7 linked regions of the Mus musculus genome follow. The protein of the gene in region 2 interacts with the protein of the main gene of each other region in a pairwise test. Links are inferred from orthologs where the notes say so. Each region holds a gene or a part of one and is shown on either strand. Other genes may lie near its edges.

Region 1 (4,002 bases), on a different chromosome or scaffold from region 2:
GTACCAAGTAGGGTAATAACCCCCTTTGTTGCAAGTCTCCCCTTTGGGCGAGCCTTATCTATGGGAGACTCCTGCAGAGGGTAGAAGGTAGACATCCTGCTGCTACTCAGAGCTGCAGGGGACCCAGGGCTCCACCTGAAGGGCGGTCCCTGGGTTGGCTGTAGTAGTCATGAGAATGAGTCTGGCCATGGATCTTGTAGCATCAGCCAAGTGGACTTTACTCTTGTCCCAGAACTAGGGCCTTCCAAATGTCTTCACAGCACCTGTTCCCTTCAGATGTTCTCTAGTGGCACGGGGGTGCGGGGGTGTGGGGGTGGGGGGTGGTGTGGGCACCTCTCAAGATAGTAATCACAACTCTGCTATACACTCCAAGTACATTTCCCAGGAAGCTCAAGTGTCCAGGACCCTACCCATTTAAGTCTCAGTTTTCTGTCTCTCAAGTCAGCCCTGCTCTGCTGTGCCACAGCACACAGGCATTATGGGGGAGCTGGGGAAAGAGAGCCCACTCGGTAGAATCCTGGAGAGCTAGGGAAGAGGATATGTATGTGTGTGCAAAATACGAGAGAGAGGAGATAGATACAGAGCCTGGGAAGATAGCTGGCTTCCACCAAACCAAAGGATTTATTAGGACCACCCGTTCCTTGGAGATGCTGAGCACCCCCTACTCTGACCACGTCCTACAGACACAGTTAATCTCTCTGATGTTGGATGACAACTCTGGCCTGCCCAACACTCACTGCTGGGTCCCTGAGCAGTCAGGTCTTTGGGAGCAGTCTGAACTGATGGGTAAGGTCATTTGGCTAGCTCCTCAGCCATTGCTTTTCGCATCTTGTCCTTGAGGTAGGCGCTTTTCTGCCATTCAGACTTCAGATCCAGCCATTCATAATATGGGACCTGGAAGAAGGTAGTAGAGACAGGTCACATGGACTACGGAGTCTTTTCCTGCCTTTACACGACCAGTGGCCCTTCCCACTCTGTCAGTGCTGCTGACTGACAGCTTTAAACATCCAGTCCTTGGCCTCAAAGTCTTCAGGAAGAGTGCAGAGTGTGAGGCTATGCACACAGAAAGGTCCTCTGGCTCTGGCAGGGACAAAGAGGTTGCAAACCAGACAGGTCCCAGCAAGGCTACTCAAGAAAAGCTGATAGAAACTTTATGTAGCCCTCAAAGCTCTGAACTTTCTCTCTGGAGGAAACTAAGCACTTGCTGTGATCTGAGCACTGAGGTATCCCTGTGCTTCAGCTCCACAGTCACACAGCAGCAGTCAGTTACAGGTCTGAGCCCTAGTTCCAAAGGCAGAGCAAGAGGTCCCACGGCTGGGCAGCACTTCCGGTGTAATGTACCCACAGGAGGCAAGCCAAGCTTGTGTGTGTGGAGTGGTGTGGGGTAAGGGGAGGTACCTAGCTTAGGCTCCAGAGCTGGGTATCTAACCTATATGCGTCTAGGGGATTCTCCCTCTGCAGTGTCCCCTTGCTCAACAGGTACTCACATCTACTACCAGGAAGCCTGCAGCCAGCACATGTCGACGGGCCAGGACAAAACGGCCCAACAAGTCCTTGCTTCTGCTGTTGAAGTTGGGGAACTCCCAGCGCAGGAAAGCGATCCTAGCAGGAGAAAAGGGTACTTATAAAGCATGTTCCCAGGTCAACCCCCGCTGTATCCCTACCCAGGCCACGCCCAGGGAGCCCCGGCCACATACCTTTTAGCTCCTGGGGGCAATGGCTGGTTCCCCACTGGCTGGGCAAGGTGGGGAGCAACGAAGTTTCTTAGGGGCAGGAAGTGGCCGTCGGCATCCAGGAGCACCTCTGCATCTGCAGGGAGGGGACAGGGTGAGATGCTGTAGGTGATGCCTCAGAGACCCCACAGTAATCCGGGTTGTTGCTTGATATACCATGCAGGGTTACAAAGGCCCCTGTAAGACTTAGACCCTGGGGGCTGGAGAGATGGTTCAGTGGTTAAGAGCACTGATTGCTCTTCCAGAGGTCCTGAGTTCAATTCCCAGCAACCACATGGTGGCTCACAACCATCTGTAATGGGATCCAATGCCCTCTTCTGGAGTGTCTGAAGACAGTGACAATGTACTCACATACATGAAAAAAAGGAAGACGACTTAGACTTTTTCCCAACAGAAGGGGAACCCTTACCCAGCACCCAGCCATACTGTGTGGCCACCTCCAGGCTGCCCTTGTCAGTGTTCCCCAGCAGTGCCTTCAGTGTCTCCTGCAGCTCCTTCTGTAGGGGTGTCATCTTTTTATTAGAGGGTGAGGGGATGGGGGCTACAGCTGAGGCTGGCAGGAAAGGGCCTTTATATTCAGGGTGCTCCAGCAGGGCGGTGGTGTTGATGTGGACCAATTTCTGGAAGGTACTCTGGTCCTTTGGAGACTTGCTCTCTGGGAGGGAGAGAAAAAGGTAGGCTGATGTACAGCAGCAGATGCAGAATGGGGACCACAGGAGATACAGCAGTAGCTTCCACCCAGCCATGGGCTGGTGTTCCCAAGTTAAGATCGGAGGCCAACTGCAGGGAGTGGTGGGAAAAGGCCGGAGGTTGTGCTCTGGCCTTCTTCTGTCTCTGCTCCCGTTTCTTCCCTGGCGGGCAGAGCAGAGCCTCCATGTTACAGTAGAGTGCAGGGACAAGCCTCACCTAGAAACCGAGCGTGGAGTCCAGGATGGAGAACCGTGTGCAGCTCTGTCTCGTGCACGTGCTGCAGCACGCACAGCGCCCACACCAGGTCCACCTGCAGGGCCGGCTCCAGGCTCCCCAGCACGGGGTCCAGCTTCTCATGCACCTGCGCAAGGAGCACAGTGAAGAGCAGGCTCAGCCAGCGACCACAACGTCCTAGGGAAGTCTGCCGCCAACCTGTGGTCCTGACTGTCACACTCCTCGTGCCTGAGTCCAGGATCCTGGTGTTATTTAGCTACTTTACTCACACCTTGTCCAGAAGCAGAGACCCAAGGTCTCAAAGCCCTTGTGATACTCCCCAGTGATGAAGTAAGACTATTTCATCAGGCCATCTAGATGGTGATGTAGCTGTTTGCCCTGGCTGGTTGCTCTCAGAATCATACCAGTAGTTTACCCATTCTCCCATGTCAAATGTTGTGCCCACTCCCACCCCCTACTCCTAGACAGTGGCCTGAGCCAGAAGTCAGCATGTCAGGAGTGGCATTTCAGTGCTCATACCATGCTGAAGAACTGATCCTCTTCTTGTTCAGGATGAAAGTTCAGTCGGGCAAAGGCAAGAAGAACGCTGCACACATGGGACAGGGAGACATCCTGCACTCTGCTGAGGAGGTGCTATGACATTAGACGGACAAAGTCAGGGCCTAGCGGCCATTTCTCCCCTCTCCAGAGCTCCAACTGTTCAACCAGAGGCAGCTTCAGGTATCCAACTCCCTGATAGTGGCTGTAGAAGCCGTCTGACAGCTACAGGGTCACATGCACCCAGGCATCGTGCTTGCATACAATACTACTCAGAGTGGTCAGTAGCTGGGAGTACAAAGCTGCCCCCCCCCCATACAGCCATGGCTGCCCCAAGATAAATGGAACCAGGACACTCAGGAACAAAACAGGCAACTGCTAAATGTTTCCCCTCACTATTAGACATGACTTTCCAAATCAAAGTAAGAGAAATCTGTATTTACGACCCACAAACGAGTATTTTCAGCTTGGCTTTGCCTTCATAATTAAGCAGCAGTTCCCTACGGAGGCCTCTACAGATAACCCTGCGGTTCTAACTCACCTGAGTAAAGGCTTCAAACAAAGGCAGGTTGAGCCACTTGAGGAAGGCAAAGGACTTGGCGCAGCGGGCCACCTCTCCAGGCGTCATGCTGGGAATGAAGGGCAGGAGGTCAGCAGCCAGGCGCTGGGACACTTGGGTTTGGTGGAAACTGAGCTTCCCTGGGGAGGAGCAGACACCAGCGATCACCTATGGGGGAGGTCAACGTCCCACAGCCACCGTTCCACCCCACCTCAGACGTCACATCTAGGGGCTTGATGTCTGTGACTC
Region 2 (4,002 bases):
CACTTCTGTGAGCCGAAACCTCCCTGGCTCCCCTTGTGCTCTGGGCCAAGGGAGGGCCACCAGGGGAAGGCGGGGTAGAGCAGGACTTACCGGGGCGGAGGGGGAGCTCACCCCCTCGTTCACGGTGCATGTGGTAGACGAGGCAGCAAGAGAAGGGCTTCAGCAGCAAGCTGAGGATGGCCATGCCGGCGCCGAAGCGGCCAGTGTCCCCAGTGGCAACACTCGAGTAGAAGATGCTAATGTAGATAATGTCCAGGAAGATGGTGGCAACCAAGCCACCAAGAAACTGCAAGGGACACCATCACAATATCATGGCCACTGACTCTCCAGACCCCAAGCTTCACACACACACACACACACACACACACACACACACACACACACCCCAGCCTGGTGACTGGCAGCCTGTGACTGGCACCTGTGTGGCCTAAGAGCACAACATACAAGTCTGGCTCTAGCCTGTTGCCCCAGAATTCCTCAGCCCCATCTCCTGCCATTGAGGTCATAAGGGGCCTGTCTCCAGAATTTCTGAGAGGGACAGTCCCTTGGAGTCCATACTTTCTGTTTACACTGCAAGAAGACAAGGAAAACCCCCTTTGTAATTCTCCTAAGGAGCCGTTGGGGTTCTGTGACCTTCCCCCATGTCTGTCTTGGAGGGGGACAGCAGCAGAGGTGGGTTGCTGTGTGGCTGGCCTCGCTAGGCTTGCCATGTGCAGAACAGCAAAGGGTCGGGTATGAGGGAGAGAGAAGACACGGGCAGACGAGGGGCGCACGGCCAGTTTCCCCACTTCAACTCACCATGCCTATGGCATCTATAGAGTCCCGCTGGGCCACAGCCCACACACCCAGGGCCAGGATAGTGAAGTTGCCCCAAGCATAGGAGCTTGAGAACACCAAGCAGCCCCTGCACAGAGAGACACACACTATCAATCAGCTAGTCACCAACTTGAGGTGCCCACCCCGTCCACACAGTTCCTTCCCCCTGTTCCAGGGTCTTAACCTCCTCTGAGAATAGTCACTCCTGCCCCCTGCAGGCAGTTATTGAAATAGCAGGCAGTGTGAATCAGATCATGTGACTCCTCCAAGCCAACCTTCCCACCGGTTTGGAATAAGATACCTTTTTTGCTGTTGTCTATGGGGTTCCCACGAGAGCCCCACCCTTACCTCCTGGCTGCTACACCCTTGAGGCTTCGTTTTCCTGAACAGGCAGCCATTTCTTGCCATCTTAAGAGCTCAAACGTTGCCTGAGAGATCCACTCTCATGCAGGCCTGACCAAGCTCCTCCCTGCTCAAGTTTTCAGAGTATCTCTGACATTGCCTACTAGTTTGCTTGCAGAGCCGGCTTATCACAGTTAACACGGGGCACTTCCTGGGACCTGACTCTGCCCCACTTGTTCTAAATTCATTGGTTCACAGCTGCTCTTTGGAGGGAGGTGTTGTTAACGAGTCTTATTTTACAGACTCAAAGTCACCGACTTAATAGGTGACTAACCAGGTCACACAGTCGCACAATGAATGACCATGAGGACTGACCGATCCTAGGAATGGGTGAGGAGAAGGTTTTATTGTAGATATGAGAGAGAGACAGCAGAGGTATCCGCAAGGATCCCGACTGAGCATGGCCAGCAAAATGAGTAAGGCCATGGGGGGTGTGGGGGAAAGCATCAGAGGAAGAGAAAGAAAGAGGTTGAGAGGGGCAGAGAGATAGAGTGGTCCAGAAGAGGAGCCAAGGGCAGAACAAAGACAGCAGGTAGCCAAAACGGAATCAGAAGCTAGGTGAAGGGAAGCCCAGATCGCGAGCTGGAGAGGGTTAGGGTAGGGGGCAGAGTGAGAAGGGCGGGGCCACGGGTACTGAGTGATGCTGGGGTAACTGGGCAGGGCCACAGATACTGAGTGATGCTGGGGGAACTGGATGGGGCCACGGGTACGTTGTCTGGGTTTCTTTGGGACCCGACCATTAGCAGGGCTGGGACTGGAACAGTGGAATTAGCAATTAGGCCAAGAGGTCCGATGTTTTCCAGTCTTTCTCGGTCTCGGGAAAGCAGGTGTGAGCTCAGCCTAGTCACCAATGTGGAGCTGCAGGGAAAGTGACACCCCACTCCCTGCTGTTTACATCGCTTACAGCAGTTGGCCTGGCCACTGCCCCTCAAAGCCTGCAAAGCACACGTGATCTCAGTGGTTTCCTGACTTGCTTTTGGCAGCTCCAAACACACGACCGAAGTGACAGTGAGGTCAAGCTGCAGCTGCACCCTGGAGCCCCACTTAGGGGCTTGGTTAGTACGCACTGCCGCAGGGGCCTGTCCTTATCCCACTGTGTAGATGGAAGATAGATCCAGCCCTGCGCCGAACGAACTGCTAAATGTGATGGACTGAAACAGTGCAGAATGGGACCTGGCCAGGCAGACAGGACCCGGGAGCACTGACCCCAGGTGACACAACACACAGCCAGAAGACGTGGATACAGCCAGACACCCAGAGTCACTTACCAGGTTGTCAACAGCCAGTGAACCAGGAGAATAACCTGTAGCACAAAAACAGGGGTTGGATAAGTCTGTGAGTGCAAAGGCACAGCACTCAGGAAGAGGCAGGTGGGCCTCTCTGAGTCTGGGGCCAGCCTGGTCTATAAACAGAGTTCTAGGACAGCCAGGGCTGTTACACAGAGAAACCCAGTCACAAACAACAACAGAAAACAAAACAACAACAAAAAAAAGAGAATAAGCCTCTCATGCCTCAGTTTCCCTCTCTTTGTAATGGGAATATAATCAGCCCTCAGTGATAGGACTTCCAAGAAAGCTGCAGGGAGAAAGAGAGCCAAGTGGCCCAGCCCTTCCTGGAAATGTGCAGCGGGAGGGACCAGAGGCTTCTCAAAGAGAAACTGGGAAGGGCGGAATGGAGCAGAGCCAGAGCGGGGGGATGGGGAGGGGCGGGGCTATGGGGGACTCTCTTCCCCAAACAAGGTCAACAAGCTAGGGCAGCAGGGGTCACTGGTGCTGGTTGCGGAATGCAGGCCCTCTCGGTGGTGGAGATGGTGTGTGTATCACACAGGGAGCATCTATCCCAAGGGGACCTTGGCTTCAGGGAAAGCAGGAGCTTGCCAGTGCTCCTCACCTGGGGGGGGGGGGGGGGCGGGGATCCTCACTCTGAAGTCATTCCATCCACGAATCTTCTGCCTACACTGCCTCCAGGGCCAACTGGAGCAGAACTCACTAGAGACTCAGCACACCAGGTCCAATCAGAAAGGCAAGCAACAGCCCAGCTGCAAAGCCCAGATCAACCACCCCTGTTCTGAGCTTGCTTTCTGTCTGGCTTTGTTTCAGGGGCTTGCAAAGGTAGACCTGGTTTCTGATCTGACGGTTGTTCTCTTGTTTGTTTGTTTTGTTCCCTCCTTTTTTTTGGTCTTTTTTTTTTTTTTTTTTTTTTTGGTTTTTTGAGACAGGGTTTCTCTGTGTAGCCCTGGTTGTCCTGGAACTCATTCTGTAGACCAAGCTGGCCTCAAACTCAGAAATCTGCCTGCCTCTGCCTCCCGAGTGCTGAGATTAAAGGCGTGAGCCACCACGCCCGGCTTTTTTTGGTCTTTGAGACAGAGTTTCTCTGTGCAGTCCTGGAACTCACTTTGTAGACCAGGCTGGCCTCGAACTCAGAAATCCGCCCGCCTCTGCCCAGCTGGTCTGAGTTTTTAATCCCCTCATCGCCCTAGAAGGCACAGCTTGTTTCCCACCTCTTGTTACAGTGAACAAACTGATGTGCAGAGAGGTCAAGTAACCTCCTCAGTGTCACACAGATAACTCTGTCAGAGCCTGGCCTTAAAACCTCGCCCCGAAGCCAGCATTCTCTCCACTGTCAGGATCTCCAAGGTCAAAGGCAGGGCAGAGGGAAGGGAAGTTTAACTTAGAAAAGGGTGGGTCAGCAGAAGTCTAGGGGCCAAGAGGATTAATTAACCTTTGTTTGGGGCTATGGACTGTGGTTCCGTGGTAGAAAACTTGCCTGGCCTGTGGTACCCTA
Region 3 (4,489 bases), on a different chromosome or scaffold from region 2:
GGCCAGATCAGACACCCGAGCAGGCTGCCAATGGCTGGCCAGTTGACAGAGGCTGACAGGGCCTTCCGTAGCAGCTCCAGCAAGACTCGGGAGGAGAGGTAGCCCCCCACCAGGAAGCGGTCCCATGGGCTGCACCCACGGGGATGAAACTCAAGCTGAGTCCTGCGTACAGCCCAGCATCGAGGCTCCCTGGCCACAGTGTCCACGCCAGGTACCAGGCTCCATAGCCCCGGCTCCAACTCCAGAGGCGCCAGCAGGCGCACGTGCTCAGCAGTCCCTGCCTGGAGCCCGTCGTAGAGAGGCCCACCCGGCACGAGTGCACCAAAGGGCAGTTCTGGGAACTTGCTCCTCAAGTAGGCCTGCAGCTCCAAGGCAATGTCTCCAGCCAGCTGTTTCGCCAACGTCACGTGGGCTTCTGGGGTAATCACATGCTTGCGCTCGAAGGCCAGCAGCCTCTCCTGGAACGTCAGGCACAGGGGTGCTATAGTGCTGAACTTAGGTGTCGTGGGAGAATGAATGGGCGTGGGCTCCACTGCGGAGGGAAGCATCCAGGAGAACATATTAGAAGGCCCCACAAGTTAAGAAAACTCGACCTGCTCACTAGCTGGGCATGTGCAAGGGGCTCACCACACTAGAGAGAAGCAGTGTAGCTCACCTGGCACAGAGGGGGAGGGGGACCCAGTAGCTAGGGGCTGGCTGAAGGCAGCAGGAGGGGGTTGGGGCTTTTGGGGCGATGTGGCTCTCAGCAGGCTCAGTTCCTTCCAGCTGTCCCCCTTGGTGTCATCCTCATCTGGAGGGCTGGTGGCCCTGTCGATGAGCTATAGGCAAAGTGACACAGATCAGAGCATCGGGGGCCATGGCAAAGCTGGGGGGAAAGCAAACCAGGAAGCTAGGGTGAAAAAGTAGGGGCCCCGTGTTCCAGTCCAACCTCAAAAGTCCCACCGTCCCCCAGCTCCCCAGTCTGGCCTTCTCCTGTGGAGGTTTCAGGCAGGCCTTGCCCCCTTGGCCTTACCCGCTTTACAGCCAGGGTAGCAATGCCCAGCACTGCAGCCCCGCCCACACCTAGCACCAATCGAGCATTAGCCAAGAGGAAGTCCACCACACTGCCCAGGCCCTCGCTGCCGCTCTGTTTCCTCTGCTTCTGGGAGAACTCTGCCATGGTCACCTGCAAAGAGATGTAGTTCGTAAGGCATAGATGCTTAGCAATGACCAAGAGGGTGGTTTCTGGGGACCCGTGAGAAAGGGGCTGCTCAAAGAGTTTCTTGGAGGGAATCAGGGGACCTGCCAGCCCCCTCCCTGAATCCTGCAAGCCTCCAAGCCCTGGAAAAGGGTTCATATAGGAAGGATCCAGGCCTTTCTCCTGACTCCACCCCAAGACCTTGGGAATCTGGGTTCAACATCACCACCCTGAGTCTACAAAGACAAAAGTTGCCAAGCCACAAACTGAGTGCTAAGGTCTGGGATTCACAGCACAGCCCCCAGACTCTTCCACTCCCAAAGCCTGAGTATTTTCCCCATGCCTCCTGGTCGAGTTCCCTCACTCCTAATCAGAACCTACCCAGAACAGCCATACTGTGTGAAAACCAGTCAGGAGGAACCCAAAGGCCCAGAAATACTTGTAATATGGGTTTCCAGAAAGTTTGCCTGGGTGGGGCCTGTCAGACCTTTGATAGACCCTTAGCAAATTCAGGAATCTAGATAGTGGCCCCCCCAGACCTTGACAAGAAAACTACCTGGGCTAGGGCAACCCCATCAGAGCCAGGCTGAAGGCCCCAGGGTGCAGTGGTGAGTGAAGTAGGCTTAAATAAACACTGAATCAGGACAAGCTGGCCAGGGCCCATGGACTCGGAACAAAGTTGGAGAGGGTAAGAAGGTGAGAGAAAGGCCCGGAGCCAAGGGCTTCTGTTTATTTGTACGACCGCACCAGTAAGGACTGGGAAGTGTGTGACTGGCCCAGTCAGGAACTTGGGAAAAAGTCACAGAAATCCACAGGCCCAGGCCACTAAGCCAGAAAGGTCATTGCCTGCCGGGGCACCAAGGACTTCAGCCCTTCTTTCAGGGCCATGGTTGCCTTGGGACTCAGTTGCCAAGTGACAAGATGCCTAGAGTAGCTGAAGCCTTAGGCACTGTGTGACTCAGCTGAGACACCTGTCCATGCTCCCCAGACTAAAAATAAGACCCTGTCCTCGAGCCTGGTAAGGTCAAAGGGCAGCCAGGGAGCCTACTCCAAGCTCAGAAACAGCTCTGCTCTGTTACTGCCCACCACTGCCCTCAGAGCAGTAAGCCACTCTGCAAATGGAAGGGGCTTGCATTCCATCACCTGTCTAAAGTGGGACTCAGCCCTACACCTAGAGGGGTCTTGTATTCAAACTCCAGTAAGAAAGGAATAAAATAGGTGACTAAATATAACCCACTTAGGCCCTATGTGGTGGTGCAGGCCTTTAATTTCAGCACTGAAGAGGCAGAGGCAGTCAAGGCAAGCCTGGTCTACACACTGAGTTGGAGGATAGCCAGAGTTACATAATAGAGCCTCTATTCAAAACAAAACAAAAATAACAAAATAACCCGACTCTTGACAGCCTGAACTTCACCTGTTCTTACATTCTGGCCAAAGCTGATTGCTTCTGATCATGACTGAGCAGAAACGTGTAACCAAATAGGCTCTTAGACTCTATTCAAGAGCGAAGTCACTGTGGCCCTGGAAATCGTGTGCAATACCCAAGTCGGGAAGAGGCACCGCTGGGATTCGAACTCTGCTCTTCAGTTCCCAAGTCCTCCCTCCCACCGCAGTGACCGCAGGCCACGCCCCCACCTGCCCCGGGATGCGCGCCACGCCCAGTGCTGGGAGACACCGGGCCACCCGGTGCGCTGTAGCCGTACCTGCGTCCGAGCGTCAGCGCATGGACCCAAGGACAGGGCGAGTAGGACCCTGGAGGCCCAGGACTCGCCTAGGAATGGAACGTTCAAACCCCGGGAACCGAACGCCGAGGCCCGAGGCGGCAAGTGACCCGAAAGGCACGCTGGATAAGCAGGCCTTCGCTCCAATCCGAGCGCACAACTCCTGCGCACACGTGCTCAAAACGGAGCAGCTCAGCCAATGATCGCCAGGCACGCCCCGGGACCGTCTGGGGCGGAAACCACAAGCATACTCCGGATTTAAAGGCGCAAGGTTATATTGATAGCGCAAGGGGGGCGGGGGAGGTGGTGAGTGTGACAATCATTCAGGGGCTTGTCTAGTTTACTTACTTTCGGGTGTTTTGTTTCTTGAGAAAGGGCCTCACACTAAAGCCACAACTGACATCGAATTCTCAGCAGTCGTACTTAGTCTCACATCTGACCTTGTGTGTACTTGTAATGAGAGCCTCAGTGTGGAGTCTGAGCTCATGGTCCCTTGGTGGGCCAGGCAGACAAAACTGCAGTTAGCCCAAAGGCCCACATTCTGCCTCTCAAGTTCGCCCCTGTTAGAGTGCCTGGTGGTTCCATTTCCGTTTGGCCTGCCTGACACATAATGGGAAAAGAGCTCTGCCATCTGTCGTGGGAACTCTATCAGTCTCTTCCCTCCTGAAACCCGGGATGCCAGACCCTGGACTTCCATAGAACAGCTGTGTCTGTTTATGGGAAACCTACTGTATGCTGGCCAGGGCAAGATGGCCACTAAGAGCTTGGCCCAGGAGATATACACTGATCTAGAGCACAAAACAAATCAATAAAGAATGGTGACTGGAGTCCTGATGCCAAGGGAGAATTGTGAGTGTTTGTGCAGCCTGCTCTCTAAGCTGCCACATGTGAGTACTCTGGCAACTTTGGGGACCGTGTTACACATGATCAAAGTTGAGTCCTGAAGCTGAAGGATTAGGTCCCAAAGCCCCGGAAGTCTCACCACTACCACCACCACCACCACCACTGATCCCTCACACACAAACTGCCTGTGTCCCTGACGTTGTTACCACCATCACTCCTGGGTCACGGCCAGCCCCAGAGGCTACAGCAGCCCAAGCGACAGTGCCTGGACCCCACCCTCCACGTTCCGACAGGAGACTGGAAGTGTTGATCATCTCCAGCGGGACCCCTACAGGCCTCCCCAGAACTCTGGTCCCAGGGAGGCCTCGCAGCTCTGGGAGTCGCCTAGCAGCACTTCCCGCAGAGGCCGCGGCCGGGAGGCGGCGCGCGCGGGTTAAAGGGGCGGGGCCGGCGCTGACCCAGCCCGCGGCTCTCGGCCGCCCCGCGTCCTCCCTGCCCGTAAGAGAGCTGCGCCACCATGGAGGCCACCGGGGTGCTGCCGTTCGTGCGCGGCGTGGACCTCAGCGGCAACGACTTCAAGGTTAGCTGGGGGAGAAGGGGAAAGGCGACCCCTAGGCCGTCTCCCCGGGCCGCTTCCTCTGCGCTTCCGGGACCGGCGGGCGGGGCGGGCGGGCCTCCGCGAGTCTTCCCGGGCCTGCCCCGCCCGGGGCGGAAGACCTGGGCGGGGGCTCCGGGGGTCTGGGGCCGC
Region 4 (3,455 bases), on a different chromosome or scaffold from region 2:
ACTACTTGAGAGGCTGCCATAGTAGGACTGCTATGAATTCAAGGACTGCCTGGGCAGTTAGTGAAACCTTGCCTCAAAAAGTGTAAGAGAGTTTGAGGATGTAGCTAGGTGATCAAGGGCTTGCCTTAGCTGGCAGGAGGCTCTGCATTCCGTCTTCTATGTTTAACCAAAATAATAGTTGCTAAGTGTCATATCTGGTTAAAAAAATGACATGCCTGGGCTTAGTTTTTTTTCCCACATCCTCAGGCTGTGGCTGTCATCTGCCTGTGTCAAAGACTGGTGGTTAGAGCTTGGGCGTGATGCATATCAATGTCCCCAGAGTGGACCACAGAAAGAGAAGAGGGGAAAGGGGGGGGGAAGAGAGAGAAATCTAGTAAGAGAGGTCATTTGGTGAAGAAAAGAGAAAGATAGAAAGAACGACACTAAAGACACGAGAGAGACACCCAGAGCTTATGGCCACCCAGGGCAGAATATGCTATAGGTAGGCAGGTCTGCCTGCATAGCTCTCACCCTCCCTGAGAGATCCTGTGCCACCCACCATAGGCTTATATATGCATGACTTAGGTGCTGGGGATGCAACTTGGACCTCATTCATGCTCAGCAAGTCTCTATAACTGAGCCATCATCCCAGCCCTCTTGTTTAGCTTTGTACCTTGAGGTAGGGTCTCACTACGTTGCCTTAGCTGGCCTTGAACTCTCTATGTTGCCCAGGCAGACTTTGAAGTTGTGATGCTCCTTGCTCCAGCCACCTGAGTAACTGGGATGAGAAGCCTGGCTCGGTTTATGTCTTGGCTAAACTGATCTTGGAACAATAAGATCTCAAGCATGCTTCTTTATTGAGTGTGTGAAGAAACCAATGAAGGATAAGGCAAGGTGGGAGGGACAGAGACAGAATTCTGCATTCCTTTTGTAGCTCCTGAGAGGACAGGCTCCAAACATCCTGATGACCCTGCTGTCCTTGGCTGCTGTTCACAAGGTTTCATACTCAGCCCGACGGGTTCTACAGTGAGCACCCAGGCTCAGGCAGCCTGGTGTGGAGAGAAAGCGGGGGAGGGGGAGGGGGGCAGGGAGCAGAGATTAAGTACTTGAGTGCCCTGCACTGCCCTGCGCCAGCCCCCATCGTGGTCCTCCCCCAGGGAGGTGGGCTGAGTAGTCACCTGCAAAGAGGAAGAGGATGAAGGAGACCCAGCCTAGGTAGAAGGACCAGGAGAAGAATGTCTGGACTTGAGAAAATGGAGTCTGGCTCCATCTCATACTGGTGTACACTGCCATAGCCACTAATATGGAGAGAGCTGGGGACAAGAACAAGAGACAGCTGAGCCAGCTTGGCCCCTGCAGGATTCACCAGTCTAGGTGTCCCAACAGCCCAGATCCCATTCATACCTGCAGAAAAAGCCATGACAGTTGAGACCAGAGGGCCACGGCCGGGAGCAGACAGGGCTGGGATGCAAGACAGAACCAGGAAGCTCACAGACACCAGGCCCCACAGGACAGCCAGGATACAGAAGCTCTGTGTCACATGGATATAACCTAAGGAAGATGATGTTTCTGAGTGTCTGTTTCCCACTGGACATTCCCACCACCAAAGAGCCCATTGCCCCTTTACCTGCTACTTGAGTCTCTTGGCTTGTTGGCCAGAGGCCAGAGTGGGCAGAGAAGTGAGGACCTGTGGCCACTATCCAGAAATCAGTGGTCAGAGCAATCAGAGAAGAAGTCAGGCCCAGAGAGCCAGCAAACAGGGCCAGGGACCGGCAGGGCTCCATGGACACAGCTCTGGGTTTCCACTTCTTAGGGGACAAAGACACAGATGACCCAGACTGTTGGCTCTTAGAAAAAGAAAAAGGCCATGCACCCGAATTCCTCGTCTTCTGAGCCAGAGAAGCAGCTAGCAAGCAGCGGCTTTGTCCAGGAGTCCTCTGTCTGATCTGATTCTTCTCACACCTTCCCTACCCCCTCCCTTCCTGAGTGGTTTGGCCTCCCCTCTTCGATTGGCTCCTCTCCTCCTATGTGGTAGGGGTGGGCCCTGCAGAAGCCTTTACTTGCTTGCAGCTCTGGGGGTATCTACCCTCGTGTTCTAGGTAGTGGTTTAGACTGTTGTCACAGGTTCTGCACAGGTTCTCCACAGTTGGAGACAACTGGTTTCCTGGAAGACCTTGGGGGTGGGGTGGGACTTGAGGGGGTGCCCAGAGGTGGGAGGTGGGCTAATCATACTAGGGTGTGAATTAACTGAAAGGGGAGATGTGGCTGAGGAAACAGTTGTGTCACACTTTCCTGTGGTTTTTACACTCTGAGACTCTAGCATTAGAGTTTCCAACAGTAAAGGGGCAGTGGGGTCAAAACACCAGTCCCATAGGAAGAAGGACTTGAGTCGGTGGGAGCAGAGATTCCACATTCCTAGTCAAAGCTTCTGTCCAGGACAGACAGGATTCCAAAAAGCTTGAAGAGGAGACGACCTTCCCACATCCTCATCACGCAGATAGAGGGAGAAGTCATCACACCTGGGTTGGACCCTCCAGCATAGGCGTCTTAGCACCAAGATGAGGGTGTCTGGGGAAGTGGAAGACAAAGTGACACTTCTGGGTCCTCTGCCTCAGGTCCTCCAGTAGTGGGCAACAGCTCCTCTACAGGCAAGCACAAAAGTGTTTCCGCCATCTCTTGATGCAATGACATAGGTCTGCCTCCCCAACACTCAAGAGATCTGAGGCTGAGGGATCATGAGTTTAAGGCTAGCTTGGGCTCCATGAGACCCTGTCCTTCCAAAAATTAAAATAAAACAGAGAGAGGAGTAGAGCTGTGTGTGCTGTCTCGGGTGAAGGGGCCAATCCAGGGACTGGGGGGGGGGGTAAAGAATTGTCTGGAGCATAGGTGGGTGAGGAGCAGGTAAGCTTTGTTCAACCTATTATCCTAACGTCCATTTCTAGACATTAAACCATGGCTATCTCCTAGGTAAGGAGCCATTTGTCTTGTTCTCATCCCTGATAATGGAAGAATGAGGCTACCATATCAAACCTTCTTGCCCCGCCCTGCCCCAGTCCGATTCTTACCAAACCAGCCCTTTGAAGAAGCACACTTTGACAGTTTCACATCAGTTTTATTAGATCACCAAATGTCTCTCTAAAGGAGCTTCCATTTTCTACCGCCCCTCAGGGCAGGTGGGGGCTTATGTCTTCTCAACTCCCTCCCACTTGACCCTACTTTTCCTCCCCACACAGGACAGAGGGATCAGGGGCTCCCTATCTAGAATCCAGGACTGAGCCCCCTCATTCCCTCAGGAGCCAGGACTTCCGGCCTCTAGGTCCTCCCCTTCCTCTTCAGTGCCCTCACTGTAACTTCCAGCTGCAAGTTTTACCCCAGGGCTCAGCGTGGGGTGGCTAGGCGCCGGCACTCATGCATCCGGTAGGCACACATGTAGAAAATTCCTGTGTGGACAGACATCTCCATTGATCCTTCAAATC
Region 5 (4,772 bases), on a different chromosome or scaffold from region 2:
GCAGTTATTTTATAGCTCGGTGAGGGCTGCTGCTGGTCTTGCACCTGGGCCTCGGTCTTCCAGATGTCTCCCATCTAGGAGGGAGTGATACTCATCTCCTATTCCTTTTACAGCTAAGCAAACTGAGGCTCAGAGATTTTTTTTCCCCCTCAGGTCCTCACCAGCTTTGGGGCAGACCTGGGCCAGAACTAGGATGTGACAGATCAGGGCATTCTCGTCCCAGGTGACTGAGGAGACTCGTGGGACAGAAGGGGAGGTCCTCCTGGGCTCAGACGACTACTTGCCTGGGAGAGCAGAGAGGTTCTGTGGAGGAACAGGGGCTCCGGAGGGCAGACTCCCTCCTTAGCCGCTGACGGCGATGGGCATGCGGACCCATCTGGCCAGAGAGGCGAAGATGTCCCCCGACTCTAGCATCCCGGTTGGCCCTGCATAGCCGAGTGTTCTTCTGGCTCAGACTGGGTGGTGGTGACCCTCTGTCTTTCTGGGCTCCTCGCTTCCTTCTCACTTTCACCTGTGTCTCCATCAGCCACTTGGTGCCACTCTGACAGGACTCCTGGATCCTCTGTGATGGGTTCATGTGAGAAGGTTGGCACAGATAGGACCAAGGTGGGCTACCAGGCTCTAGCCATTCTTCCAGCCCAGGGCTGGCCCCACAAACACAGTCTGCTGTTACTAAGCAGCAGCAACAGTAAGCCAAGAGCAACAGCATGACTCCCCATGAGATGGTACTCTCCTCCAAGACCTTCCTGAGATCCAGTGTGGTAACTCAGCAGGTAGCAGCAAGACCACTCTACATCTGAGCCCCCAGGCAGAGACTAACTCAGAGAGTGAGGGAGGCTCAGTTTTCTGGATGCCAGCTCTGGATCCTACCTTAGTCCTATTCTTTCTCTTCCCTCCTCCATCTCAGTCTAACATACTTCAATGACAGGTCTGCTCATAACACTTAATTGCTCTGAGCCCTTCCATGGCTCCCAATAATCTACAGGGCTGAGTCCCAACCCTTGGATCTTCAACATGTGGCTGGGTCAAACAGCCTTGCTAGATTGTCTTTGCCTTGGCAAACCAGAACCCAGAAGTTGGAGCAAGGCCCGAGATAAGTTTTCATGAGTTGGGTGACCTTAGACAAACTGTCACATTTCATTGTTCTGAGCTATAGCGATGTTGAAAGCAATCTTAGGGCTCTTCCAAGTCAGAGCTAGACTTTGGCAAGGAGACCTCTCTGTGGAGTCGTCAGAGGCCTCTGCTCTCTCCCTACACCATCAGAATGCCAGCAAGATGCCAGGGGCCATTCCCCCTTCTCTTCTTAGAGGTCTGCTCATTCTCATAGCTTCTGTCCTGTCCAGGGGACACCTGCCCACATCTCCAGCTCCAGGTTTAAAGACCTAGGTGGGGTCAACATGATATCGTAACAGGTACATCTTCTTGCCACCAAACCAGGCAACTCGTGTGATCTCCAGAACCCACACGGTGGAGGGAGACCTTATTCCTTCTCTGACCTCCAGACAAGTACCACTGCATAAGCGCTCCTCCCATAGATAAATATTAAAACATTAAAAGAAGATATCTGCTCGAAGGCTCTTGGACACACCACACACAAACACCACCCCTCAAATCTGCCTTCTGAACCGCTCAGGAAGTTGCACCCTTTCTGCAAGCCCCGCTCCTCTGCCTTTTTCTACCAAATAGTTGACAGCTAAGGTGTAAGAGTGTGACTGGGAGACTTTAAATGGGGGTCAGCACACAGGATCACCTCTCTCACTATACTGACTGCTTAGCTTCACACTGGGGACTCTTCTCTTCAGCATCCACGCTGGACTCACTCACAGCATCCCACTGGCCCTGTGCCTACATACACCTCCCCTTTCCTGAGTGATCTTGGAAGAGTCACCTATTCTAGGAAGTCTTTATCCACTAAGCTTGAGACTGGTATCTCTTTATAGATAGCCATTTCCTGCAATTTTCTATCACAGGACATGGCAGGTCACCTTGCATGGGGAACACCAATTTCTTCCATGACTTTATTCACCTACTGATTTGTTGGGAAACTATTATGTGCCAGAATGACCGGGGTTCTGGGAAAATGGCAAGAACCTAATCAAACCCCAAGACCCCATGGAGTCTATATTCCTGGGGTCTCCCTGAGGATAGGGACAGTCAACACCAAGGACGCTTCTGTAAACAGACGGCTGGTGGTGTCATTGTTACCTGGGACATGGCACCCAAGGCGCTTTTGGCTGAGCGAGCTGCAGCCTGAAGACCTTGCTGCTCTGGCTCTGGACTTTCCAGGCGTTTCCAGGAGGGGCCGTTACCGAGGTTCAGGCTGACCGCTCTCAGAGGCAGCCTCCTTTGGAATTGTCTGCACAGGGAGCCCAAGGGACCGGTCTCCGGATGACCCCCAGCAGACCGGGTCACCTCCTTCTTCTCTAGCTGTTCCTCCTTTAGGAGTGATCGTCTGCGCACAGAGGTCCTCATGCCCTGCCACTGAGACGCCATGTGCTTGGTCCAGTTTCCGCTGCCCGCTAGATCCTGGGGAGGTCAAAAGGTCATCAAAGTACTCCCTGACCCCATTCCAAGGCTCCAGGGACCTTGGGAACTGGGAAAGAGATGAAGTGGAACCTCGCGGGGTAGGCCTGTTGGGCAATTGTGGATGCCAGAAAGATGACCAATGGCATCATGGTCAGCAGCTGCCTCCGTTGCAAGGCGGCAATTTGTCCGTCTTTCCATCCTAGCCTATTCCCCATAGGCTAAGTGGAGTGGCACACAGGTCACGGAGCCTCGGCGCTTACGCAGGGCACCAGCAGTATGCTGTTTTCACAAATTTTCCTCTCCGGAGCAGATTTAGCAATCCAGCCAAGGCCTCGGATCCGATGGGGCGTTTGCAACTCCTAGACATTCCCTTTGTCTTGTGGGTCCTATCCAGAGCTCCTGACCCGTTCCCCATTCAGAGCTCCCCGTGAGACCGTCCCCCACCCCCCTCCTTAAGCCCCTCGGTAACCCCGCATGCTCACCTCCCTGCTCGATACCCGGACCCGAAGATCAACACCCTCTCCTAGCCCACCGCAGCCGATTTGAAACTCCGCGCGGCCCCGCCCCGCCCCGGCGCTTGCAGCCCATTGGCCCTATCAGCCATCCACCACCGCCGCCCCGGATTTCGATTGGTCTTTTTCTCTCGTGACTGTAAATCCTGCTTTGGGATTGGCCTGGCCACGCCCATACATCGTTCGTAGACCCCCCACCTGGCTCGCCGCAGAGGGGTCCAGGTCGCCACCGGATCACTGTTACCGACCAGCCCGCCTCCCTACATCCCGGCTGCTTGGTCCCAGGCGACCGCGCCTAGTCCATCGTTCTCCCAAGCTCTCTTCTTCAAGCATGCAGGTCAGGGTGCAGGATGCTGCGGGGGTTCAGGTCACCGCCACCCAGGGCACGCGCCCCTTTCAGTCCTTCACCCCGCCTAACTTCTCTCCCACGATAAGTAGTTTTGTCAAAGCGATAGGCTGGGACTGCCGAGCTTTGCGATCCCTGGGAAGTTTTGTTTCAAATTCCCCGCGTAATTCTCTTCCTTCCTGCGAGATGGCCCTGCCCCTGTCTGTTCCTCAAACAAACACCCTGCTGGCGGCGCCCAAGAAAGCACATCTCAGAGGAGGGGACAGACTGTAGATCACCCTCTCCACAGTTAGGTCAGTTCCTCTGCCGGGTCTTGCTCTACGCATCTTTCAATCTTTCTTTCCTGTAGTCTGCCAGCAAGCTAAAAAAACAAAACAAGAAACAAAGACGACGACGACAAACAACAGCAACCCAGGCTGGGTCACTTTCTCCCATGCTTTCATTTTTATGGTTTTGACTTTTTTTAAAAAAAATATTTTTATTTTTAATTATATGTCTCTGTGCATGTAAATGCCTGTGGGGTGGCGTGGTGGCGACACAGAAGAGGAAGTCAGACCCTCTGGAGCTGGAGTTAGAGGTGGTTGGTTCTAACTGGCCACACTCAGCCTCCCCAAGATTGAAATCAAGGGGCCTGGCGTGCCACCACAATGGGGCCTTCTTATCGGTCCTCAAAAAAGAATTTCTCTTCTCCCTCCTCTCTCCTTTCCTCAGCCTGGAGTGAGACTCCTAGAGACTCTTCAGGCCTCTTCCTGGTGTCAGGATTGTCTGACCCTCTCCTGACCTCAGTGTTTACCTCCCAACCCCCTATAATAATAATGGTTGATTTGTGTGTAGCACTTGCAAACACTCCCTTTCTATCAGCAAGCCCAGTTTATCCCCAGTGCTCTGCAGCTCTGTGAGGTAGCTGGGGTGTGGAGAGACTGGCCGTACACTTCACTCACTAACTGTAGCAGGGTGAAGGACCCAAAGGCCATGCATGCAGGGACGTTGTCTGTGTGACCAGGGTTGACCCCCTCACTGTTGCTCCTCAGACCCCACCCTTTTCCAGCTGGGGTCTCTCCCTTGACTCCTGAAGCCAGCACTCTTCTGGGTCCTGTCACCTCCTGCTGGCTGCATAAAGCCAACAGAGCCAAGACACTGGTTCCCTGCTCCCCCAAAGTCTCTCTAATCTCACCAAGGGGAACTTGTGACTTATTAAACTCTGTGCTTTCTTCCTTCTTACACCCATGGGTCTCAAGTTCAGCATGTGTAGAGAGACAAGTATTTCCAGACCAAATCTCCAATAATCAATCAGAGAACTGTACCGTTATCTAAACGTGAGACCTTGACAATGAGCTGGCTAGGCAGAGGATATGTTTGTAGGCATTTATCTTTGTGACTGTGTGTTT
Region 6 (4,002 bases), on a different chromosome or scaffold from region 2:
AAAACAAAAACGGGCTCACAACCATCCGTAACAAAAATCTGATGCCCTCTTCTGGAGTATCTGAAGACAGCTACAGTGTACACACATATAATAAATAAATAAATCTTTAAAAACAAACCAAAAAAAAACAAAAACAAAAAAACAATTTTAGTGGCTGGAGAGATGGCTCCGCGGTTGAGAGCATTGGCTGCTTTTCCAGAGGACCTGGGTTCAGTTCCCATAACCCATACGGTAGCTCACAAACTGTCTATATCTCCAGTTCTAGGGGAGCTGACACCCTCACACCAGTGCACATAAATTCAATTTATAAGTAAATAAAAAAAAAAGGGTTAACCTTTGTTTAGCTGGGCAGTGGTGGTACATACCTTTAATCCCAGCATTCGGGAGGTAAGGACAGGTGGATTTCTGAGTTTGAGGCCAGCCTGGTCTACAGAGAGTTCCAGGACAGCCAGGGCTACACAGAGAAACCCTGCCTTGGTCTGGTGAGATGGCTCAGTGGTTAAGAGCACTGACTTCCGAAGGTCCAGAGTTCAAATCCCAGCAACCACATGGTGGCTCACAACCATCCTTAACAAGATCTGACTCCCTCTTCTGGAGTGTCTGAAGACAGCTACAGTGTACTTACAATAAATAAATAAATCTTTAAAAAAAAACAAAACAAAACAATGAATTTATTAAAAAAAAAAAAAAAAAGAAACCCTGCCTTGAAGAACAAAACAAAACCAATTCCAGCACCTAGCAAGTAGAGACAAGTGGATCTCTGAGTTTGAGGCTAGCTTAGTCTACAAGTCAAGTTCCAACCCGACAAGGGCTACAGAGTGAGACCATGTTCCAAACCAACACCTCCATCCCTCTCCTCCCCCCCCCCCCAAAAAAAGGAAAGAAAGATGCTTTTAGCAATCCTGAGGTGATCCTGGCTCTCTTGTTTTATCAAACAAGACTGGGCTTCACTATGTAGCCCAGGCTAGCCTCAACTTCCTGTTCCTCTTTCTTCCTGTCTTGGTTTACTTTTTTTTGTTGCTATGACAAAATATCCTGACAAAAGAAACCTAAGGGAGAAAAGGAGCTGGCCACAGTTGCAAGCAGGGTCCATCACAGTGGCGGGGGCTTGGGGCAGCTGGCCATATTGTATCCATAGTGAAGCAAAGCGTTGCTGTGCTCAACTCCCCAGCTCCCCCTCCCACACCCCTCTTTTTAAACATTTATTTATCATGTGTGTGCATACATACATGCTCGTACCATGTTATGCATGTGGAGATTGGAGGTTAGCCCTCTGGACTTGACTCTCCCAGCATGTAGGCTCCCAGCGGCAAGCACCTAACTTGCATGCTCACATTCTCCTTCTCAGAATCCTAGCTCAGAGCCACCCACCCACCCACAGCTGGTGGCTCTATCCCACCTTGGTTTACATCATCAGAATAACCCTCCATGGGCATGCCCAGAGACCCCTCTCCCGAGTTCAGGAATTACCGGACTGCGCCCCATTGCCAGGCTGTGCTTGCCATCCTGTCATCTGTAAGAACTCCACATGCCCTGGTTCTGTCAGGGGCCGTTGTCTCTGAAGGTTCTGCCTAGCTCTGAGAAGGTTCCAGCACGAAGGCTGGCCGTTGCAGACGCTCCTGGGTTTCTATCCCTTCCATTCCCCCCTCAGAATCCATGTGGGGCCCGGGGAGGCTCTGGGGAGAAATGTGGAGCAGCGAGCACTCAGGGCTGACTGTCCCTTCTCACCTCCAAAGGTGGTGTGGCCCCTGCAAGATCCTAGGACCGCGGCTAGAGAAGATGGTCGCCAAGCAGCACGGGAAGGTGGTCATGGCCAAAGTGGACATTGACGATCACACAGACCTTGCCATTGAATATGAGGTAGGTGTTGGCAGAGCGTTGCCTCAGGGAAGCCAAGGCAGGTGCGCTGTGACCAGTAAGTGACGTGTCTGCTGTTGTTCTGGAGCTCTTCAAAGGTCTCGGGGCTTTGCGCTCGTGGCTCTGTTGATCCACAGACACCCTCAGGAAGTGGATTATGTGACCACTAGGTCCTCCTGTGTCATTGTTCTTTTGAGATAGGGTTTCATATCATGCAGGCTGTCCTTGAACTCCGGATACTCTTGCTTCAGCCATTCGAGCGTTAGAGTTATAGGAGTGTCCACCATATTTGACTACAAGCCATCCTCTCAGGTCTTCCTGCCCTGTCCACCTCACTGGCTTCCAGCCATTGCTTTATGAGCCTTGGCATGTGTGATCGAGTTAAGGGGACAGAAGGGGACACCCGTGTCCCCAGGTGTCCCTTGTTCTGTTGCGAGATGATCATTTTACCCTGAAATGAAAAGTTGTCTGAAAAGAGACACACTGCAGGTTGTTCTGAGGGAGTGGCCAGGACGGGGAAAGTGTCACATTCCAGAGCCTCTGACCTGAATTGTGAGTGAAGGGTGCAGAGAAGAAGAGAGCTGGACACCAAGTCCTGAAGGAGCCAGAATGGTGCCTTAAGTCTCACTACAAAAACAAGGAAGACAGGAAGGGATTGGCCTGTGTGTGTGGGCATCCTTTGCCTGACGTGCAGGAAGTGGCAGCAGACTACACTGAGCTTGGGTCTGGAGAGATAGCTCAGCAGTTAAGAGCACTGACTCGTGTTCAGGGGACCTTGGTTCAATCCCCAGCACCCACATGGCTGTTCACAAACATCCGTAACACCAGCCCCAGGGGATATGGCTCTCTTCAAGCCTCCCCTAGTGTAGCATCCCCAAGGTGTATTTGACATGACATACAGACAAAGCACCCACATAAAGGGGAAATTTCAAAACAAAACACACTCTGACCGCACCAAAGAGCATTCAGGAAAGTTGAGGGGTGGGAGAGATGGCGCAGTGGTTAAGAGCACTGGCTGCTCTTCTGGAGGACGTGGATTCAATTCAATCACTCCAGTCCCAGAGGCTCAGACGCCCTCTTCTGGCCTTTGTTGGCAAAATTCCCATACCCATAAACTTTTTTGAAGTTTAAATAAGTAAAAATATTCACATACAGCCAGGCTGTGGTAACTCATACCTCTAATTCTAGCACTCAGGAGGCAGAGGCAAATAGGTCTCTGAGAGTTCAAGGCCAGCTTGGTCTATAGAGCAACAGGCCGAGCTACACAGGGGAACCCTGTGTTGAAAAACAAACAAACAAAACATTAAAATAAACAATATCAAAGTTAAAAAACAAGTTTGCAATTTTCTTTTTTTTTTTTCTTTTGAAAAAGGGCTTTGAGTGTCTGAGGGGCAAGTGGCAGACACATGAGGCTTTTCAGGGCAGTGAGGGCTGAGCCCTCTCTGAAGTCCCCAGCCACAGGACAAAGTAAAGGCCGCAGCATGTTCCAGCCACAGTGTTTACAGCCTCGGGCAGCAAGTGGAACTTAGCCCGAGGGACATGGTCCACTCGGTGCTTTCAAGTATGGGCTCCCAGTTCAGAGGCCTTAGCAGTCACGGACACACACTTTGGCTTCCAGTGTTCAGATTTTTGGCTTGGGGACAATCAGCCAATGACGTCTGTGTAAAGTCCAAATTCTGATGGATGCTGTGGAGAGAGGAAATGCGGGGAGGGGAGGGGTGGAGGAGGTCTTTCGTTTTCCTTTTTTTTTTTTGTTCTTTGATTTGGCCTTTTGAGGGAAAATCTTTTGAAGCTCAGGTTGGCCTTGGCGTCACCACCTAAGAATGGCCTTGCATCTCTGATCTTCTGCCACCTTCTAAGGGCAGTGCTTACAGGCACGCACCTTCACATCTTTCAGAGGACTCTCGTCTCAGAGGAAGTAACGTGAGAACAGAGACCTGAATGGAGCAGCGAGTGAAGCTTACGTGTCTCAGGAAAGAGCCCCTAGGCAGGGCAGACAGAGGCCCTGGGCTGGCCACAGACCGTGGGGGTGGGGGTGGGGGTGGTGCAGTCTCCTGTGGGCCCTGGACCACCACCGCAGTTGAAGAAAGAGAGGTTCTTTGTGGCTATGGCTGGGGGAAAGGAAGAGCAGGGTTGGGAGGCCCA
Region 7 (4,002 bases), on a different chromosome or scaffold from region 2:
GGATTAAAGGCATGCACCACCACCACCTGGCTCTTTGTTTTGTTTTAAATACAGGGTCCTATCTATCTATCTATCTATCTATCTATCTATCTATCTATCTATCTATCTTTGTAACCCCGGATGGTCTTGAACTCACTATGCAAGTGAGTATAAATTTGAACTTCTGTTTTCTCTGCTTCAACCTCCAGAGTGCTGGGATTAGGGTGTGCACCACCAAAACTGGTTTCTGGAGTACTGAGGATGTAACACATGGCTGTGTGAGTGCTAGCCATGCAATCTGTCAACAGAGCCACATTGCAGCCCCTGGGACAATTGGGAATTATTTATGTGTCTGTTTAAAATTTTATTTTGTTTTTACTTTATTAATTTGGTCTTATTTGAGACAGAGTTTTTCTGTTAGCCCTGGCTTTCCTGGAACTCAGTCTGTAGACCAGGCTGGCCTTGAACTCAGAGAACCACCTGCCTTTGCCTCTCAAGTGCTGGGATTAAAAGCATGCATCACCACTGACCAGCTGTCTAAAATTTTATAACATTTATTTATTGCTGTGTGCGCACACGCTCATGCAAGCCTCAACACTTGGCTGGAGGTCAGAGGATAAATAACTTGTGGGTATCAGGTCACTCCTTTAGCATGTGCATTGAACTCAGTTGTCAGGCTTGGCAGCAAGTGCTCTCACTGGCCCAATTATTTATCCTTATGTAAATGAGAGCAGTTACACAGGGCTCTGCTTGGCACCTCCTGTTCCATTATTTTAGAGTCATATGGAAGAGTCCTATTTAAGACCTGGAGAAAACTTGTGCCATCAAATTGATTTCTGCCCCCAAAGTTAATCTGTTTTCCAAAGCGAGGGCCTGGTTAAAGTCTGCGCTCTGGGCTTGGTCATCATCCTTTAGCGAGGGGACAGTGGAGGGAGAAGCGTTGGGCCCACTTGGAGCTCTTGTTCTGCCTCTGGGGGCCTCTTCTGCTTACGGTGCCTATGTGTGCAAGTTCTTCCAAGGGGGAATTATCCCTGGGAGCTGTACCCAGAGATAAGCCTTCTGGGCTCTTGCCCGGTGTCCCTGTCTGAAGGTAGATTAACCTAACTGGCAAAGCAGGACATAACATTCTGTGAATCCAACTTCCCAAATATACTCATCTGGTAGATTCAGAGGTCAGAATGAGAAATGATCTGTAAAACTGCTACACAGAGTAGTGGGAGAAAATTACACCCTTGTAGAAAATGCATTTTCACCTCTAAGTATTTTCTAGATATAAGTACTTGGTACCATTTCAGCATTGGGGCACTGGGCAAACATTCTATCTCCTACCAGGCAATGATGGCAATCGGGACCTTGTCCACATCCCAGGGACCAGGTCAACAACCCACCTTGTGCACAAATTGTTCCACTCGGGTCTGAAGGCCCCACACCTCGAACTTGACGGTGACCAGCTTGTAGGAGCACATGATGGGTTGATGGTTGTCTCGCCAGCCTTCTCTTAGCTGCCCTCGGCCTGTCTTCTCAGACTTGAAGTGTTTAGGATCCTAGAAAAGACACACCAAACAAGCCGGTATGTTAATACTTCATAGCGTGCGTGGGGCAGCACAGGCCTGTAACCCCAGCTCTTGGCAGGCAGAGGCAGGGTGGTCAGGAGTTCAAGACCACCTCAGTTATATTGAGTCTGAGGCTAGCCTGGGCTACTTGAAACATTGTTTGTTGTTGTTGTTTTAAAAAAAAAAAAGCTATCTATATGAAATGTCCAGAATGGGCAAAATCCACCTAGACAGAAAGTAGGCCATGGTTACTAGGGACTAGGAACAGGGAGGACCATGGAGACTACTAAGGGGAGCACTGATGGGGCTGAAGAGATGGCTCAGAGGTTAAGAGTGCTGACTGCTCTTCCAAGCAATTCCCAGCAACCACATGATGGCTTACAACCATTTGTAATCGGATTGAACACCTTCTTCTGATATGTCGGAAGACACAGCTACAGTGTACTCATATACATATAAATCTTAAAGGGGGGGGGCACTATTTCCTGGGAGGAGCTGGAGAGGCTTGGGAAATGCAGGTAAATACCCTTGCCATGCACGCTTGAGTGCCCAACTTCCATTCCTGGAATCCACATAAAAAGCCCCATGGGAGGCTTGAGAGATGGCTCAGCTGTCAAGAGCACTGATTGCTCTTCCAGGGGATGTGGGTTCGATTCCCAGTCCCCACATGGCGGCTCACAACTGTCTGTCACTCCAGTTCCTGGGTACTGACACCCTCATACAGACGTGCGTGCAGGCGAAACAATACACATAAAAACATTTAAAATGACATTAAAAAAAAGCCAGATGTGGTGGTAAACATCTGTAATCCCAGTATACTTATGGGGAGATGAGACCAGTAACCTATGCAACTGAGGTTGCTGTACAAATGGAGAAACAGAAGACCAAGCAGGTAGGAGGGACAATGGCCTCCTGAAAGCTGTCTACTGACTCTATGCTCACACACGTATGCACACGCACGCACACATGCACACACATGCAGGCTTAAAGAAATAAAGCTAATAGCCTGGTCTAGCGATGGTATTCATGGTGGAAGACATCTTTATGCACAATCTGAAACTGTATCCCTGCATGGCCACTCAGATTTAGCTCGGAATAAATGACCTCTTATTCCGGTTTCACACTGACAAGGCAGGGCCTCTGTCCTTCCTCTGTTGCTTCTCTTTTGAGAGTCTGTCTGTGGCACTTGTCAGCTGAAGATACAACTACATACAACACCATGCTGGGAGGTGGCTCAGATGGTCGAGCGCTTGCCAGCACTCATGATGTATTCTGCAGGAGCAAGCAAGAGCTCTAACCACTGAACAACCCTGCCAGGACATCATTAACTTTCCCCAAGGCTTCTTTCTCCCTAGCTAGCCCTTCTTTTTCTGCCCATCTCTCCTATTTTTTTTTTCCCTTCAGGAGCCTGTCATGTGTAGCCCAGGTGTTCTGGTCACCCCCCACAACATTGTGACCCTTCTGGAGCACGGAGGGTTCTCCTAGCTAAAGCTCCAGCACACCATGGGCATCCACAAACCCAGTTCTTTACACCACTATGGCAAAGCCTTTATGCCATCTCTCCAGTCTCAAGGTATGATTCTTGATGGCTCCACACACACACAAAAAAAATTTAAATTATAGTAGGCTATTATGAATCAGAGTTTGGGGAGAGGTTGTATGTGAATGAGAAGTCTACTGTATTACCACAGCCAGAAGGTAAAGTCTGTAAAAGCTAGTAGCTCGTGTGTTAAGGTCAGAGGAAAATCCAGGACTCAGTTCTTTCCTTCCCCGACATGGATTCTGGAGCTCAAACTCAGTTCCTCAGGCTGGGCAGCAGGCGCCCAGAATAGAATGTCCTAAGTGGACAGTGATACTCTGGTTTTATGTCCTCAATTTACTAGACAAAGACACCGAGACTTGTGAAAAAAAAAATCAGATATTTCACCTGAAGATCACACCAGGCCAGTGTTCTTTCTGCCACATTTACTTTCAAAATTAAATAGCCTTTTTTTTTTCCTCTTTTTTAAACATAACTCAGTCCTGAAGAATCGATTAACAGTTGGGCTTTGTATGGGAACAGGATGTTCCCCACCCAAGACTGGTGTCATATCTATAGCTGATAATTTCGTCTAGTAAATCTCTAATGTGGCCTATAATTAGAGATTCCCGTTCCAAGTGCTGGAGAGAGGTACAGAAGGAAGGCTTCCACAAAGATACCTTTGATCCAAACTCTGAATCAGATGTGAATGGACAGTAGTGAGCCAAGAAAAGGTGCTTGTGTGTGTACACATGTGTCTACGTGAGTGTGTGTTTGTGCATGCATGTGTGTGTGTACCCATATAAGCCAGCAGGTATAACTTGACTTAGCTTAGACACACACCATACGTGCAGGTGAAGGTCAGAGGACTTTGTGGTTCTCTTCTTCACCATGTAAATGGGTCAAATGTAGGTCACCAGGCCTGGCAGCAGATGCCTTTACCCACTAAGC

The links.
Region 1: the proteins of Agtrap (region 2) and Tbrg4 interact in binary tests that used the Homo sapiens proteins (3 or more experiments, as listed by UniProt). The two-hybrid records come from large-scale screens. The link is inferred for Mus musculus from reciprocal best matches to the Homo sapiens genes AGTRAP and TBRG4.
Region 3: the proteins of Agtrap (region 2) and Mief2 interact in binary tests that used the Homo sapiens proteins (3 or more experiments, as listed by UniProt). The two-hybrid records come from large-scale screens. The link is inferred for Mus musculus from reciprocal best matches to the Homo sapiens genes AGTRAP and MIEF2.
Region 4: the proteins of Agtrap (region 2) and Nkg7 interact in binary tests that used the Homo sapiens proteins (3 or more experiments, as listed by UniProt). The two-hybrid records come from large-scale screens. The link is inferred for Mus musculus from reciprocal best matches to the Homo sapiens genes AGTRAP and NKG7.
Region 5: the proteins of Agtrap (region 2) and Pimreg interact in binary tests that used the Homo sapiens proteins (3 or more experiments, as listed by UniProt). The two-hybrid records come from large-scale screens. The link is inferred for Mus musculus from reciprocal best matches to the Homo sapiens genes AGTRAP and PIMREG.
Region 6: the proteins of Agtrap (region 2) and Txn2 interact in binary tests that used the Homo sapiens proteins (3 or more experiments, as listed by UniProt). The two-hybrid records come from large-scale screens. The link is inferred for Mus musculus from reciprocal best matches to the Homo sapiens genes AGTRAP and TXN2.
Region 7: the proteins of Agtrap (region 2) and Pitpnc1 interact in binary tests that used the Homo sapiens proteins (3 or more experiments, as listed by UniProt). The two-hybrid records come from large-scale screens. The link is inferred for Mus musculus from reciprocal best matches to the Homo sapiens genes AGTRAP and PITPNC1.

What each region holds. Positions count from the first base shown.
Region 1 is NC_000077.6:6,615,821-6,619,822, forward strand, and holds part of Tbrg4 (FAST kinase domain-containing protein 4), read right to left. Parts: exon of another isoform or gene 3,988-4,002; intron 3,894-3,987; coding exon 3,736-3,893; intron 3,291-3,735; coding exon 3,177-3,290; intron 2,785-3,176; coding exon 2,640-2,784; intron 2,389-2,639; coding exon 2,143-2,388; intron 1,810-2,142; coding exon 1,698-1,809; intron 1,603-1,697; coding exon 1,488-1,602; intron 895-1,487; coding exon 793-894; 3' UTR 1-792. UniProt on the Homo sapiens protein: Plays a role in processing of mitochondrial RNA precursors and in stabilization of a subset of mature mitochondrial RNA species, such as MT-CO1, MT-CO2, MT-CYB, MT-CO3, MT-ND3, MT-ND5 and MT-ATP8/6. May play a role in cell cycle progression.
Region 2 is NC_000070.6:148,081,473-148,085,474, forward strand, and holds part of Agtrap (type-1 angiotensin II receptor-associated protein), read right to left. Parts: intron 2,522-4,002; coding exon 2,487-2,521; intron 905-2,486; coding exon 799-904; intron 287-798; coding exon 91-286; intron 1-90. UniProt on the Homo sapiens protein: Appears to be a negative regulator of type-1 angiotensin II receptor-mediated signaling by regulating receptor internalization as well as mechanism of receptor desensitization such as phosphorylation.
Region 3 is NC_000077.6:60,726,959-60,731,447, reverse strand, and holds the start of Mief2 (mitochondrial dynamics protein MID49), read right to left. Parts: upstream 3,051-4,489; 5' UTR 2,881-3,050; intron 2,786-2,880; exon of another isoform or gene 2,722-2,785; intron 1,166-2,721; 5' UTR 1,160-1,165; coding exon 1,013-1,159; intron 819-1,012; coding exon 656-818; intron 533-655; coding exon 1-532. Other genes in the region: Flii (protein flightless-1 homolog), read left to right, coding at 4,259-4,321. UniProt on the Homo sapiens protein: Mitochondrial outer membrane protein involved in the regulation of mitochondrial organization.
Region 4 is NC_000073.6:43,435,612-43,439,066, reverse strand, and holds Nkg7 (protein NKG7), read right to left. Parts: upstream 1,930-3,455; 5' UTR 1,764-1,929; coding exon 1,607-1,763; intron 1,531-1,606; coding exon 1,384-1,530; intron 1,293-1,383; coding exon 1,158-1,292; intron 1,029-1,157; coding exon 970-1,028; 3' UTR 821-969; downstream 1-820. Other genes in the region: Lim2 (lens fiber membrane intrinsic protein), read right to left, coding at 3,358-3,419.
Region 5 is NC_000077.6:72,040,771-72,045,542, reverse strand, and holds the start of Pimreg (protein PIMREG), read right to left. Parts: upstream 3,042-4,772; 5' UTR 3,009-3,041; intron 2,527-3,008; 5' UTR 2,494-2,526; coding exon 2,206-2,493; intron 563-2,205; coding exon 285-562; intron 1-284. UniProt on the Homo sapiens protein: During mitosis, may play a role in the control of metaphase-to-anaphase transition.
Region 6 is NC_000081.6:77,922,401-77,926,402, reverse strand, and holds part of Txn2 (thioredoxin, mitochondrial precursor), read left to right. Parts: intron 1-1,736; coding exon 1,737-1,860; intron 1,861-4,002.
Region 7 is NC_000077.6:107,232,980-107,236,981, forward strand, and holds part of Pitpnc1 (cytoplasmic phosphatidylinositol transfer protein 1), read right to left. Parts: intron 1,524-4,002; coding exon 1,368-1,523; intron 1-1,367.